4 linked regions of the Cricetulus griseus genome follow. The main gene of each other region encodes a partner of the protein of the gene in region 2 in a complex. Links are inferred from orthologs where the notes say so. Each region holds a gene or a part of one and is shown on either strand. Other genes may lie near its edges. The genes, in order: Tprkb, Lage3, Osgep and EKC/KEOPS complex subunit GON7-like.

Evidence for each region.
Region 1: Lage3 (region 2) and Tprkb share a complex: the UniProt entries of both Homo sapiens proteins name them as parts of the EKC/KEOPS complex. The link is inferred for Cricetulus griseus from reciprocal best matches to the Homo sapiens genes LAGE3 and TPRKB.
Region 3: the proteins of Lage3 (region 2) and Osgep are in contact, whole or in part, in a crystal structure (PDB 6GWJ), measured with the Homo sapiens proteins. The link is inferred for Cricetulus griseus from reciprocal best matches to the Homo sapiens genes LAGE3 and OSGEP. Residues at the interface, in NP_006005.2 of Homo sapiens: Glu76, Ile77, Gly80, Ser81, Leu82, Pro84, Asp85, Asp125, Gln126, Leu129, Val130, Arg132, Thr133, Met134, Arg136, Phe137, Gly138, Pro139, Pro140, Val141, Arg143; in NP_060277.1 of Homo sapiens: Arg50, Ile53, Leu54, Asp55, Leu57, Gln58, Leu61, Gln69, Ala84, Val87, Ser88, Val91, Val92, Arg94, Thr95, Val96, Gln98, Leu99, Trp100, Asn101, Leu315, Ser318, Gly319, Val320.
Region 4: the proteins of Lage3 (region 2) and EKC/KEOPS complex subunit GON7-like are in contact, whole or in part, in a crystal structure (PDB 6GWJ), measured with the Homo sapiens proteins. The link is inferred for Cricetulus griseus from reciprocal best matches to the Homo sapiens genes LAGE3 and GON7. Residues at the interface, in NP_006005.2 of Homo sapiens: Pro60, His61, Ile62, Phe63, Thr64, Leu65, Ser66, Val67, Pro68, Phe69, Pro70, Glu74, Arg102, Ile103, Glu111, Cys113, Leu116, Arg117, Val120, Ile121, Leu124, Asp125, Leu127, Ser128, Val131, Arg132, Met134, Gln135; in NP_115879.2 of Homo sapiens: Met1, Glu2, Leu3, Leu4, Gly5, Glu6, Tyr7, Val8, Gly9, Gln10, Leu17, Asp28, Pro29, Phe30, Gln31, Leu33, Leu34, Val37, Met40, Lys41, Val44, Thr45, Leu47, Phe48, Asp49.

The regions. Positions count from the first base shown.
Region 1 is NC_048601.1:74,424,737-74,427,911, forward strand, and holds the end of Tprkb (EKC/KEOPS complex subunit TPRKB), read left to right. Parts: intron 1-134; coding exon 135-257; intron 258-1,594; coding exon 1,595-1,771; intron 1,772-2,207; coding exon 2,208-2,282; 3' UTR 2,283-2,297; downstream 2,298-3,175. UniProt on the Homo sapiens protein: Component of the EKC/KEOPS complex that is required for the formation of a threonylcarbamoyl group on adenosine at position 37 (t(6)A37) in tRNAs that read codons beginning with adenine.
Region 2 is NC_048604.1:1,362,487-1,366,263, forward strand, and holds Lage3 (EKC/KEOPS complex subunit LAGE3), read left to right. Parts: upstream 1-1,531; 5' UTR 1,532-1,565; coding exon 1,566-1,801; intron 1,802-2,108; coding exon 2,109-2,237; intron 2,238-2,564; coding exon 2,565-2,679; 3' UTR 2,680-2,893; downstream 2,894-3,777. UniProt on the Homo sapiens protein: Component of the EKC/KEOPS complex that is required for the formation of a threonylcarbamoyl group on adenosine at position 37 (t(6)A37) in tRNAs that read codons beginning with adenine.
Region 3 is NW_023276807.1:206,592,050-206,595,467, forward strand, and holds the end of Osgep (probable tRNA N6-adenosine threonylcarbamoyltransferase), read right to left. Parts: intron 3,395-3,418; coding exon 3,316-3,394; intron 2,950-3,315; coding exon 2,884-2,949; intron 2,784-2,883; coding exon 2,693-2,783; intron 2,479-2,692; coding exon 2,403-2,478; intron 2,309-2,402; coding exon 2,210-2,308; intron 1,953-2,209; coding exon of another isoform or gene 1,913-1,952; exon of another isoform or gene 1,735-1,912; intron 1,107-1,734; coding exon 953-1,106; 3' UTR 660-952; downstream 1-659. UniProt on the Homo sapiens protein: Component of the EKC/KEOPS complex that is required for the formation of a threonylcarbamoyl group on adenosine at position 37 (t(6)A37) in tRNAs that read codons beginning with adenine.
Region 4 is NC_048598.1:103,312,539-103,317,057, reverse strand, and holds the start of EKC/KEOPS complex subunit GON7-like, read right to left. Parts: upstream 3,112-4,519; 5' UTR 3,050-3,111; coding exon 2,842-3,049; intron 1-2,841. Other genes in the region: putative E3 ubiquitin-protein ligase UBR7, read left to right, coding at 3,315-3,464. UniProt on the Homo sapiens protein: Component of the EKC/KEOPS complex that is required for the formation of a threonylcarbamoyl group on adenosine at position 37 (t(6)A37) in tRNAs that read codons beginning with adenine.

The sequences.
Region 1 (3,175 bases), on a different chromosome or scaffold from region 2:
CCATAGTTTAAAATACCGCCCATAGGAATGAATGGAGAACAGATAAACAGCTGGACTAGAGTTACATCAGGAGGGCACCTGGTTCAGGAAGCTCCTGATTCTCCATGTGCTAATCTCTGTTTTCTCTCTGGTAGATCATCGATCCATTTCAGATACTTGTGGCAGCAAACAAAGCTGTTCATCTCCACAAACTGGGAAAAATGAAGACAAGGACTCTGTCTACTGAAATTATCTTCAACCTCTCCCCAAATAACAATGTAATGTGGTGACTGACTTTATTTCTGTTGGTCTTGTCATTGTAGAATGTGCCCTCCCCCCTGTGTAGCAGTGGGGGCCGGGTTCCTCCAAGCCAGCTGTTAGTACTAAGCCAAAATAGTTTCATAGAGAGGTCTAGACAGCCATTTAGTACTGCAAGTAGCTGTGGAGTCAGTTTCCTGGTCAAAGGTTAAAATACTTGAGGATGGTATTATCTGCAATGCCCATATTATGTTAAGTAGACCCCTGAGCAATTTTGCTTAAGAAACTGGAAGAAACCCACACTATAAAACATGAGGTATAGATACATTTTGTGTCAGTCTCCCTGTAAACTCCTAGAGATGGGCTGTGTGTCTTTTTTTTATAGTCAGTACCTGGAACTTTCTGTGACCTGGTAGAGCAGTTGATGCCTGCTCACTCACACACCCAGGGCATAGAAAAATTCATGGTTTGAAACCTTCATAGGAATGCAAACCCCCCCCCCCACCTCCCAGGTTTGGGTGTGTGCTTGAATGTGTGTGTGTGTGTGTGTGTGTGTGTGTGTGTGTGTGTGTGTGTGTATGTGTGTGTTGTATGTGTGTGTATATGTGGTTGTGGTACACAGATTCATGTGTGGGAGTGTGGGGGCCTGAGTATTACAACATGATTGTGAAGGTCTAAAGGACAACCTCAGATGGTCCTTGCCTTCTACCTTTTCCAGACAAAGTCTCTTTGTTTTTCACCACTGGGTACACCTGGGCTTCAAGCTTCTTGGATTCTTCTGTCTCCACCTCCTATCTTGCTGTACCAGCACTGGGGTTATAGACCATTGCTGTTGTACCTGACTTTTCATGGGCTAGGGATTTGAACCAAGATCCTCACACTGGCTTGACAACTGCTTTACCCACTGAGCCATCTCCCCATCCCAGGAGTGCTTATTAAATGGGAGTTGTTGAGGTGATGACATTCTGTGTGTGACATGGAAAAAGATGCCTGACCTCAGCTGATGAGGTCCCAGTATTACTGCTGCTATTAGTAACAGCCAGGTACTAATATCAAAGGGAAGATTTGGAACCATATGGCAAGAATTAAATCACACTTGGTTGCAAAGTTTATAAAATGCAGTCAGCATGGCAACAGAATCCCCCATTAATAGAACCATTGGAAATAATTGAAGACACCATTCCTGATCAAGACGAAGTTCTAGGGACAGAAGAGACAAGTGTGATAGCAGTTGCTGGAAAGGGATTGTAGAAGGGGAAAGTATGCTCTGAGAAACAGGGAGGCTGACGAGCAGGTCAGAAGTATTCCAGACAGAAGACACTGACTCATTTGCCTTTTTTTTTTTTTTTAATCATAGATTTCAGAGGCTTTGAAGAAATTTGGTATCTCGGAAAGTGCCACTTCAGTTCTCATTGTTTACACTGAAGAGGGAGAGAAACAAATAAACCAAGAACACCTAGTATCTCAAGTGGAAGGCCAACAGGTTCCTTTGGAATGTCTTCCAGAAATAACAAAGCTCTCAGAAGTCAAAAAGGTTTGTAATACACGTTTTTTAAGAGTTCAGTAGTTGAATTATACTGATGCTTTTTGTTCATCACTGTTAAAAATTTTGAACTATTCCATTAACTTTAGTTAGCATACAAGATAATGGTTTCATTACCTTTTCACAAATCCTATTACTGCTTTTACTCATATCTGCCTCCTCTCATATTCCCAATATCCTTTGAACTTTTAAGTAATAGTATGGGCCTGGAGAGTTGACATAGCAGTTAAGAGTCAGCAGTTATTCCAGAGGACCTGGGTCTGATTCCAAGTCCGTTCATAACCATCTGTAATTCCAGTTCCAGGGAATCCGATGCCTGCTCCTGGCCTTCGTTGGAACTGCACACACATAGTACACATATATAGAGGCCAAACACCCTTACAAGTAAAATCAAGAGAGGTTTAGAAATATTAAAATAATTTTGCAGATACTTCATAAAAGAAAAGAACTGGGACCTACAAGTTTGTGGAATGTAATTTGGAATAGAGTCACAGAACTGTAAGAAAAGGGATCTCTTTCAACATTCAGTGACTGTGTGAGTTGATATCTACATGTGTACTCAAAACTGATACAAATGGGATTTGTGTGTTCAAGAAATTTGTTTTTTTATATTAATACTTACACTTAAAAAGGATATTTGACATGTGTGGCAAATAACCACCTGCTTTGAACACTTTAAACATTGTGAATGAAACCATTAATGCCATAATAAAATGGTAATGCCACGTGGTAATGTATATGTAATAACCGTGTATGGACTTGCCAGCACTCATAGATTGTCATTCACTTTTACAGATATATAAACTGTCATCACAAGAAGAGAGTATCGGGACATTATTGGATGGTATCATTTGTAGGATGTCAACAAAGGATGTTTTATAAGATGCCCAAAACATCAACAGAAAAATCTGAGTTAATCACCAGCTGTTTTTTTCCTGGTTATAAAATTAACATATCACTGAAAATGGGAAAAAGAAACCACTACTAGCCCTATTTTGTTTTCACTTCTTAAAGACAGAACACTGTCGCTGTTTTTGTCATTGTCTTCTAGTCTTCTGTTTGTATTGGAATAAAGTTTATTATTGTACAATTGGAATAAAAAAGTGCAAGCATGTAGATGGGCGTCGGTGGCTCACACCTGCAGTCCAAGCACTCGGGTGGCAGAAACAGGCGGATCTCTGTGAGTTCAAGGACAGCCTGGTCCACTGCTTGAGTTCCAGGACAGTCTGTCTCCACAGCTACCGAGATACCCTGTCTCAAAAAAACCAAAAAGAAAAGACAGTGCAAGCACCTAGTGAAGGCTACAGTGTTCAAGGCTCTTCCTCAGTAATTGATCCACCAGTTTGCATCTCGCCTCGTGCTGCTGCTTCTCCACATTGCCTCCTGAGCTTCTGA
Region 2 (3,777 bases):
CCAGCAACCACATGGTGGCTCACAACCATCTGTAATGAAATCTGGTGCCCTCTTCTGGCCTGTAGGCATACATGCAGGCAGAACACTATATACATAATAAATATACATAATAAATAAAATCTTTAAAAGAGCGAGAGCGAGAGAGAGAGAGAGAGAGAGAGAGAGAGAGAAGGCCCCAGTAACCACACAGAATGTGGTGGCATAGGGGCAAAAAAAAGGGGGGAACTGGAGCCACATCATACAGGGATCTTATAAACTACTGCAAAGCTTTGGTTTTTATTCCAAGTGCCACTAGAAAACGTTTCAGGGATTGTTGGTTGGTTGATTGTGATAATGGGAATGAAACCAGAACCTTGAAATGCCACATAAATGGTGTACCAAATAAATTCTATCCAATCCACCATGACCTTTTTTATTTTAAGAGTTTTAAAAATGTTTATGTGTATGAGTGTTTGGTCTGTATGTGTGTCTGTGTTTTTTGAGGGTTTTTTGGTTATTTTTTGTTTTTTGTTTTTAGAGGCAGGGTTTCTCTGTGGCTTTGAAGGCAGTCCTGGAACTAGCTCTTGTAGATCAGGCTGGTCTCAAACTCACAGAAATCCGCCTGCCTCTGCCTCCCGAGTGCTGGGATTGAAGGAGTGCACCACCAACGCCCAGCCCAATATACAGGGTTTTAAGCATTGATTTAATCTATACTAGAAATTAGACAGAGTGAGAAGAGTGAGTTGGGCATGGGTAGGATCAAGGAACATTGTACACATGTATGAAATTGTCAAAGAATAAGTAAAAGATATCTTAAATTTGCCAGGAGGTGAAGTTCAAAGCCAGCTTGTTATACAGAGCTAGTTCAAGGACAGCCAGGGCTAATACACAGAGAAGCCATGTTTCGAAAAATCAAGAAAAAGAAAAAGAAAGAAATTAGAAACTTTTGTGGGGGATATGCTGTAGACAAGAAGAAGATCAATCTCAGAGCTTTTGAAGGTGTGATGCAGAGAGAGAGGCTAGACAGATAGTTTAGTGATTAAGAGAACTTGCTGCTTTTGCAAAAGACCTGGGTTAAGTTCCCAGAACTCACATAAAAGTTTACAACCACCCATAATTCCAGTTCCAGTACCCACATGGACAACAGGCACTACACACATGTAAAAACAGGCAAAACATTTATACACATAAAATAAAAATAAATAAATCTTAAACCAGATGGTGGTGGCACACACCTTTAATCCCAGCACACTTGGCAGGCTTGTATCTGTGAGTTTCAGGACAGCCTGGATATCTCTCTCTCTCTCTGCATCCCGAGTGCTGGGACTAAAGGCATCTGCCACCAATGCCCGGCTCCTTAGATCCCTTTTAAAAAGAAACTGAAGGGAAAGCTGGATGTGGTATGGCACTTTGGAGGCTGAGGGAGACTAGATCAATCTCTTAGAGATCCCAACAGAGGCCTCCAGATGGGGACCGACCCAATTTAGCAACTTTGTCGCCCGCCCATTCCCGCAGGTGCATGTGGGATTGGCAGCCTGAGCGAGGGCGGAGCTTCCGGAGGATAAGGCGGGCTCTGGGCCGTAGCGATGGCGGAGGGTGGCTTGGAGGGTGGAGCAGCGGTAGACATGCAAGCAGCACACAGTTTAGGCCACACTGCAGATGGCGCCGATTCCCCGACCAGCTGCTGCTGTCCCGGTGATGCAGGCGCAGTGGCAGTTATTCCCAGTGGAGCTCACCCTGCTGCACGAGCATCGGAAGTCTCCGGTTGGAGCAAAAGCACTGTTCCTTTAACCCAAAGGCCGGGAATCCGACATCATAGATTGTATCCTACCGGACAGGGACAACTGGGTCACTTTAGGGATGCTTCAGGAGGGAAAAGGGGTAGTCTGGAGACGGGGGTGGGGTGGAGGGGAGCAGGGGGACCGGCTGATTGAGGTCTGTTAACCACGGGAGGTCTGGGCATGAGAAGATAACAGGGGGAGGGGAACCGGAGGGTGGAGGGAATGAACAGGAATTGCCCAAGCAATGTGCAAGATGTAGTCTGGGGAGCTTAGACCAGATGAGATGGTTTTAGAGGGCCAAGTAGGCGAAAACGATTCAACATGGTGCCTTTCCTGAGTCTCTACCAGTGCCCTTACAGTGCCTTTCCCGACCTCTTTGGAGGCAGAAATCGCCTGTGGGTCCCTAGCTCCTGATGCCGAACCGCACCGAGGAATCTTGGGGAAAGACCTTAAAGTCAGCGGCTGCATGCTGGAGGTGTAAGTGCTGAAAGAGTCTGGCATGCTGGGTAGGTGGCTGGACTATTCTCTACCCAAGACTGCACTTCCTTAGAGACAGCACACTAGGGTGACTTCTAAGAAGACTCTTGGTGCAGTGGACCAGTCTTTACCTGCAGGATATGGTACAGTGGGAGCCTGAGGGAAGATCCAGAAAGGTAGGAGCCAGGAGGCAGAGGCAGACAGATTTCTGTGAATTCCAGGCCAGCCAGGGCTACATCGTGAGATTCTCTCTCTTTCCAAAATAAATAAGGAAAGAAGGATAAGAATTACTATTTTAAACTTAATATTCTTTTTCCTCACTCTTAGACACTGGATCTCAGAAGACTCTCGCCTCCTCCGAATTTCCATCATGAACTTTCTTGACCAGCTCGCCCTAGTGGTGAACACCATAAAGCGCTTTGGGCCCCCAGTTTCTCGTTAAGCCTGCCTGGGAAAAGGGGCTCAGATCTGACCTTATGTCGGTTCCCTCCAAAGCAGACAATTTTCTGGAAAACATTCCAGAAATAGTACCTGCTACTTAAATGTGGGGCCTAATATTTTTTTGCCTGACTTGGTCCTCAGGCACTTAGGGGCCACTTGTTTAGTTTGGTGCTCAAATGTTGCTGAAGAAAATAAAGCTGTGCTTCTAATCTGTATTTGAGTATTTTCAACCTCAAGATTTTCTTTGTGTTGGAGGAGAGGTATTTGTTGTATAAAATAAGAGTATTCACCTAATGTTGTGAGGTCCTTGATTCAATCCTCAGCAGTGAAAAACTACATTAGTAGAAAGTAGAAGAAGACAATTACAGAAATAGAGGAAAATTAAAAACACAAGCACCCTGTCATTTGGGGCTCACTTTGGGAAACTTTTGGTATTAGAATTTTATCAATATAATAAATGTGTAGCAATATCATGAGGCCCCTCTTCTGAGGAGATATTGGCAGTTTATGGCTGCTGGGGAAATGGAGTTGTTTTTCTTCAGTAGTGTAACCACTGTTAAGTTGCTCATAATTCTGTAAATAACCCCACATCCATGATCATGCAAGCAACCCTAATTAAATTCAGTGAGGCACTAATGAAAGACATGAAAATGGAGATGTAATTGTTAAGAAGAAGGGGTTGAATAGAGGATAAGAAAGGACAATAGGGGATGGATATATTCAAAATATATACATTGTAAACATGTATGAAATTGTCAAAGAATACTTTTTTGTGTCATTATGTAACCCTGGCAGTCCTGAGACTTGCTCTGTGGACCAGGCTGGCCTCAAACTCATAGAGATCAGCCTGCCTCTGCAAGGTGTGTACCACCATAGCCCAGCTTTAAGATTTATTTTTATTGGGACTGTAGAGGTGGCTAGGTGGTTGAGAGCACTGGTTTTTCTTCCGGCAGACCTCAGTTTGACCCGAAGCACCCATATGCGCTCAAACTGTTTTTATGCCCAGGCCCAAGTCATCTAATGCCCTCTTCTGGCCTCTGTGGTCACTTCATTTATGCGGTACACAGACATACAGGCAGGCAAATCACCTATACACACA
Region 3 (3,418 bases), on a different chromosome or scaffold from region 2:
TTAGCTAGTGGTGACTGCCGTGACAGCCACGGACTTTATTACCTTTGGGAACAGAGAACACCAATTAAATGCTTTCTTTTGGTCACAGTGTACTGTCTCTTGACAGCAATAGCGTAACTTAACTTAGCAAAATAGTTCAAAATGTTGAAATATATACAATATATAAAAAATAGTTGAGAGGCAACTAAGAGACAAAGGTGACGTGTACAGGGAGAGATATGTTGGGGATCTGAGGATCAGGAGATCCGGAAGTTATCAAGGACAGCGAGTGGGAGGGTTAAGAAGATAATGAGGGAGATGCAGGAAGGACTGACTGCCTTCAGTTGCATTGTTATCAGGGGGCTGCAGCAGCCAGCACGGCTCTCTCACTTGCACTTTTGGCTGCACAGACGTAGGTATAAAGCAGGTGATGTGTGTAGAAGTAGAATGGCGGCTAGGGATGCAGCTCCATCCAGAGGTTCAGTCCCTAATACTGTATAAATTGGGTGTGGTAAGGTACACCTGTAACCCAACGCTTGGGAGGCAGACATAGATGAGGTCATCCTATGCTAGTTTGTTCAAGGCCAGCCTGAGCTTGATGAGATCCTGTTTTTTTTTTTTTGTTGTTGTTGTTTGTTTGTTTTGTTTTTAAAATAAAAATGGCAAAGGCAGACAAAGCATCTGCAGCAAGGTGTTTATTATTGGAATTTAACTGAGGATAGCAAACAATGTAGAAAGGAAGTAAGATCAAAGGGTTTCAGGTCCTGGAAAAGGGATGGATTCCACATAATAACCTGAAGAGCCAGATTGTGGCAGAAGAACGGGATGAGACTGAGTTATGGAACAGTGCGTTGCAAGAGGTGGGGCGTGGCGGTGCACACCTTTCTCCCAGCACTCAGAAGGCAGGGGCAGGTGGATCTCCGTGAGATTGGGGCCAGTCTAGTCTACACATCAAACTCCAAACCAGGCAGGGCTACATAGAGAGGCCCTGTCTCAAAGAGACAGAGGAGGGAAAGAAAGAAGAGATGCTGCACCACCTCCATGCCCAGCGGTACATGGATGTGAAAGACTCACCACCAGGCGTTAAGAGAAGCAGTCTTTCCGAAAAACTAGGTCTCAGCGCAACGCTGTGAAGACAACATTTGAAAAAGAGGGTGAGGATATATGGATTTTACAAATGGCTGATAAGTTTCAGGAGTTTGGAAGTGGGACAAAAAAAAAAAAAAAAAAAAAAAGATGGCAAAGCACCTGGCTGCCAGAGGCTAAAGAGGAGCTTGGTAGTTCAGGACCTCTTGTGGCACTATATATGGCATGATATCTACAGTTCTGATGCTTGTATTGGTGCTGAGGTGTTGTACATCTCGGGTGCCTCCCAGATACTGGCCAGTGAAGTGTTTGAAGGAGTACATTAAATGAAGTTTAGGAAGGACAGGAGTTTTAGTAAAGTTATGAATTGGATCTATTTCCAGGTCTTTTTAAGGGATATCCTGAATACCCCTTCAATGAATGTGAACACAGTTTGTTAAGTGTAGAGGCCTCGGCACAGGACATGACACTAAAACACTATTAGTTAGGAGACTATTGTTAAAGGGATAGAAGGACAGCACCCACGACTTTCTCCAAGTGGCAATCGTCAAAACTATCTGCACCATCAACCAAGTGCTACTCTGACCCTCACCAGCTTGTCCACTGACCTCACCAGTAAGAATTTACCCAGCACTCACTCTGTTATTGGTCCTAAAAAACACAATCCAGTTGTCAACGTACAAAAACAATCTCTTTATTTCAGAGTCATCTTGGGGTTCCACAGGAACCCTAAGCCTTGTGTGGGGTCCATACACTAGCCAGAGAGGAGAAGAGTCCATAGTATCACCAAGATTCACTCCCACATCAGCACTCCACTTGGCAAGCTATTCTGGTCCTGTTAGTGTTGTTAGTCCCTCCACGTCACTTCTACTTCATCTGTCCTGTACCTGTGGAAAGCAGGAAAAACCCTGTGACTACCTGTTTGCGCCATTTTTTGTTGTTTTGTTTTTGAGACAGCATCTGTAGCCCAGGCTTATCTCAAAATAAAAATCCTCCTGCCCTGGCCCCCACATATTGGGATTACAGGTACATGCCACCAAACCCATCACCTACAGCTTTATCTGTTCTTTGACTTTTCTACCTGTTAATTTCTACCTGTCTCCTGTACCTACTATCTACTTTCTCAAAGGAGGATGTCACTCACCTCTGTGTAATTCCAGACTCTCTGAGAGGGGTCCTATGTCCAGCTTGAAACATCTCCCAACCTGCTTGGGCTATCATGGCTCCATTGTCAATGCAGAATCTGGGGAAGAAGCAGTAACAAGACTTGTGGCCTAAACATAGAAAAACCGTAATGATGGGAACAGAAGAACTCAAGACAAAGAGAAGGACTTCACCTCTCATCTGTGGCAAAGAGCTGGGCTCCCCGCTCCTGGCACATTGCTGCCATCATCTCCTGCAGTCTCACGTTACCTATGAAGACACAGGAACCACAGATAACTTAGATTTGGCCATTTTGCTATCAAACCAGTTGTGCTCCCAGGACAGTTTACCAGAAGACTAGGGAAGAGGGTTGTGAAACAGTTAAAGAGATGAAACAGGTAACCCTCCAAACTCTGGTAATGTAGCGTTTCAGGAAAATGACTCTCAGGACTAGGAGGAAGGCACACTGCCCAGTGACACATACATCCAACTCCTCCTACGATGAGGGCTTCCTTGGAGCCACAGTGTGCCATGGCTCGCTCTGTGATCTCCACTAGCATTGCAAACACAGTTTCCTGTGGAAGACAGACAAGGGGGAGACATCAGAGCAGCATCCCACCTTAGTTCAGCTCTACTCTAGACTAAGTTTTGCATCCCAGCTTTTCACTCTTTTACCTGTAAGGAGAAACACAGGTCTTCAGGAGTACATTCCCCTGTGGCCAGCATTTTCTGCGCTACATCCTGCAATTAAAGGGGGGGAGACAACCCAAAGGATGAATACCGACATGAGGCTTTCATGAAAACAAAAATTCCTGCACTTGAAAGGATAGCTGACTTCATTACAACTGACATTATAGGAGTGCTGCACCCCACATCATCTTCTTTTGTTAATTTTTATTTTCAAGCCTTTTTCCCATGTAGGGAGGAACTGTTTTCCCTATAATATGTAGTGCCCGGTACACAGAAGGTATACAGTACCTGCTACATAATCTATCTAGCACCTATTATGAGTGAATGCTTAGGTAAGAAATAAACAGTGAGCAAAGTGGACACATCACTTTTAAAAGCAGGGGTGTGCTCCTGTCTGGTTACCACTCTCACACTCACCTCGATGAAAGACAGAATCCCTGAGAATGAGACATCCATCCCCTTTACAGTGTATGGCAGCTCAACTAGCTTCTTGCCTCTATGTAGAAATGAATAAAGGCAC
Region 4 (4,519 bases), on a different chromosome or scaffold from region 2:
TCACCACTAATTCTGAAATATGTTAATTACTTCCAAAATTTGTTCCTCTCATTCTTAGAACTACTAATTTACTTTCTACCTTTATGGATGTGCCTATTTTAGACATCTCATATAAATGGAAAGAAACATAGAATGTGTAGCCATTTGTGCCAGACTTACTGTTTTAGAATTCATTACTGTTGTAGCATGGATCCACACTTCACTCCTCTGTGTGTATATGTGATGTGTATGCACAAACCATAGCACACACAGAGGTCACAAACTCATTGTAGGTCTTTACCTTCCACTTTAAGAAAGCATCTCAGCTGGGTGGTGGCGGTGCACACCTGCAGTCCCAGTACTTGGGAGGCAGAGACAGCTGGCTCTCTGATTCAAGGCCAGCCTGGTCTACAGAGTGAGTTCTAGGACAGCCAATGCTACTCAGGGAAACCCTGTCTTGATCCCCCCTAAAAAACAAACAAACAAACAAAAAAAGGGGGGGGGTAATGTATCTTTGCATACACTATGCTTCCTGGCTCTATTCCCTAACTCACTGCAGGGAGCAGGGAGCAGGGAGCACTAGGATTATGGGCACATGGCAGTACATGGGTTCTTGAAGCCAAACTCACAATCCCATGCTTGTGCAGCTCTACCCACTGAGCAATCTCCCCAGCCAAATACTTTATTCTACACAATGAATACTATTCAACAATTAAAAGAATGCTCATGTTTTACTCTGGTGATGGGCAGTTGTATTATTTTGATTTCACAGCTATTAATGAACAGTGCTACTACAATTATTGAGTTTTGGTATAAACATATTTCCAATTAACTTTGGAGAACTAGTGGTGTAACTGGGGTACTATAGTTTTTGCCTGCTTGCCCTTACTCTGACTAGCAAGTTCATCTATCTATTCCTGAGACACCTCTTTGCTGGTGTTATAACCTACTTTGCTGGGACTCCAGCACCAGATTAGGAATGCTGAGGCATCCAGTCTCAGAGACTGAACAATTACTGGATCCTTGGTGTTTCTGTAAGGAGAAAGCCACTGTTGGACTATTCAGACCACAGGCTGTAAGGGCACTCTAACAAAGATATTCTATCAATAGGTTTTGCTTCTTTAGAGAACCCTGACCAATGCACCTAGCTAATACTTTATTATTATTATTTTAAATTATTATTATTAAATAATAATATTATTATTATTTCAAGACAGGATTTCTCTATGTAACCCTAGCTGTCCTAGAACTCGTTCAGTAGAGCAGGCTAGCCTTTAACTCACAGCCTGCCTCTGCCTCCCGAATGCTGGGATTAAAGGTGTGCACCACAACCATCCCCAGATTTTACTTACTGTTCTTCTTAATGACAGTCAATAACCCTATTATAAAGAACAGTACAGTTTAATCTCCTCTGTAGAAGAACTGACTCCTTAGCTCAGAGTAATGAAATCTCTTTTGTGTTCAAGATTAAAAATAAAATTTAACAAAGGTCAGGTTTGGTGGTGCATGTCTTTAATTCCAGCACTGATGAGGCAGAGGCAGGCAGATCTCTGCGAATTCAAAGTCAACCTGGTCTAATCCAAGGCCAACCAGTGGTACCCTGTGACACTGTCTACAATTTTTTTTTTTCTTCTATTAACAGAGTTGGGGCTGGAGAGATCAGTGGTTAAGACCACTGCCTGCAGGGGTTCTGATGCCCTCTTCTGGCCTCGGAGCACACTGCATAGAGCAGTGGTGCACAGACACAAGTAAGCGGCAGGCAAAACATCCACCTTGTTAAAAAAAAAACCAAAACCCAAAAAACTAACAGTTTATTTCTACAACAGTAGAGGGGGTGAATGATAGTAGGGGCTAGAGGAAGGGAATGGCTGTGGTGAAACTTTCTTTTGACCATGACATGGCTCGGACACAGGGGCAACAACTGTGGTTACCTGAACGAGACGGCAACCTCAACAGGGGCTCATTGGGTCCCATCCCGCCCGGAGGAGTTTTTGACAGTTAATGGGTGCTGGGGGAGGAGCTGACGTTTTCTTCTGTGGTGTAGTCACCGCTGAGTTGCCCTTGCTCCAGTAAATAACCATCCACCCCTTCTCATACAAAGAACCTTAAACTCAGTGAGAGACAACAAAAAGGAAGGCAGAAAAGAAAGCGGCGTGTGTGTGTGTGTGTGTGTGTGTGTGTGTGTGTGTGTGTGTGTGTATGTGTGAGTGTGTGTGTGTGTGTGTGTGTGTGTGTCATCGGGAATGGTTCAAGCAGGGGACGAAAGAGAAGGAGAAAATGACCACAGCGCATTACATGCACGCATGAGACTATCGGTGACTTTAAAACACACACCCACACCCACACAGCAAAACCGAAACCCCCTTATACTTTCAAAAACAGACTCGAGAAAGGACCCTCTGAGGGTTAAGACTCCCCACGACACAGTCGGTCTCGACCTTCCGAAGCTGTGCCCGCTGTGCCAAACAGGTTTCTAATTTCACACCTGGGGAAGACTCCCCCCCACTGGCGCCACGGGCCGCCCCTTAGGTCTTCCTTCCAGCTAGCAGCGACTGCAGACCCCCAGCCCAGCCCACCCCCCACGCCCCCAGGCTCCACTCTGCGGGTCTCAGTCCTCCGCGCCCCGCAAGACGGGAGGCGTCGGGCTGACCCGGCTCCCTGTCCAGCCCCCAGGCAAACGCTCGCCACGCTCTTCTGGCTGAGGTGAAGGAAGAGTCGTGGAAAACGCGGGGCAGAGAGGGCCAACCGTTTTCAGATGCGAGCCTTCCTGCTCGCCCGCGCCGGCCGGCCGGCCAGACTCGCTGTGCCAAGGCTGCCAGCCCTTCCCTCACACAGCCGGAGACCCCGGCGCCCCGCGCTCACCCTCCTCGGCGTCCTCCGGATCTGCCGTCACGCCCTGCGCGTCCCGCTGCTCCACGAGGGGCCCGAAGAACTCGGCTACCAGCTCCCTCATCCGGGCCACACCCGCCGACAGGCTCTGGAGAGGGTCCGCGTCGCCCGACGCCTCACAGGACACTTGCAGCCGCCGGGGCTCGCCGTCACACCCGACGTACTCGCCCGTCAGCTCCATGGCGACCCCTTCGCTTCAACGGCGCGCCACAGAGAACCGCCACCCGGAAGCGGAAGCCACCCCGCGGGCCGGCGCGGGCGGGAGAGACGGGTAAAAGGCATGACTTCCGACTCCCGGCACCCGCCCCGCCCATTTTCTTCCATCTCCACCTTTACCATTGGCTGCCTGACGATCAGGCCCCGCCTCCTCGCGACGCCCCCCCCGCAGGCGGTCCCTTTTCCCGCCTCCGCCTGGGCCGCGCCGCGGAGCGCTGTGACAGTTGAGGATGGCCGGAGCGGAGAGCCCCGCCGGCTGCCCGGCGGAGCTGGAGCCCGTGGTGTCGCTGGTGGACGTGCTTGAGGAGGACGAGGAGCTGGAGAACGAGGCGTGCGCCGTCCTGGGCGCCAGCGACTCGGAGAAGTGCTCCTACTCGCAGGTGCGCGCGGCCCGCTGCACCCGCCGTTCTGCTGCTTCCCGCCCGCGGCGGCGGCGGCGGCGGCGGCGGCCGCCCCGGCTCCAGGGCTGCCCTTCACCCCGGGCTTCCACAGCCCCGGCCGGCCCTGCGGCCCTTTGATCCTCAGCTTGTCGCCAGCAGGGCTCTCCCTCCGCCCTGCCCGAGGCTCTCTGCAGGCTCCGGTCCCCGAGCAGCAGCAGCAGCAGCAGCAGGAGCAGCTCTGCCCTCCTCGTTGTCGCCTCTTGGTGGCCTGCTTTCCACGAGCTCGTCCTCGTGACTTCTCAAACCACCCCGATATTCTTCGCCCCACTCCTTCCACTCTTAAAGAAGCTTAATTGGGCACCAGGTGGGGGGGGGAGGGTGAGCAGAGCTAAAGGGAAGTGGGCTGGATTTGAAAAATGTGCCCGTGCAGTCTAGTTTAACTGCTAGCTGGTTTCTTTCTTTCTTTTTTCCTTCCCGGTAAAGTTCCGAGTGTATGTGTTGTGTGACAGACACCCCTTCTCCCTCCGGAGTAGATCGGAACCAAAACATCATGTGACCCTGGAAAGCCGAGAGAGGAGGAAAGGATCTGCTTGGCGCCTGTGCGACCTTGTAAACAAGAGTTGTTTGAGGGCCGGTGATGTAGGGTTTAGTGACGCATCCCGTACATCTAAGTACAAAAGTGGAGAAGGGTGGGTAGGAAGGCACCAACAGGATGAGAATTGGTGGAAGGAAGCAAGCTAGCTATGCCCGTGGGTGGAGTGGAAGACTGGGGAAGGAGGGAAAGAACTTGGAGTTACTGTGTGGTGTGGACTAAAGTCATAATGCTATTTGTCTTCGTTAACCAACTTGGGTTTGCACTGCAAAATTGTTGGGTTGTGGAATTAAATCTTGTATCCCAGAAATAGTCGCAGATGGTCACTGGCATTTAAATCAAAGGATCACCACTAAGACACACCCCACTTCCTTGGAAGGAGGAAAGAAAGGCTCCAAGCCTCTGTGTGAGCTGTTTCTTAACACCATTATCTTTATAAAATGTATTAACTAAGCATTTTTGT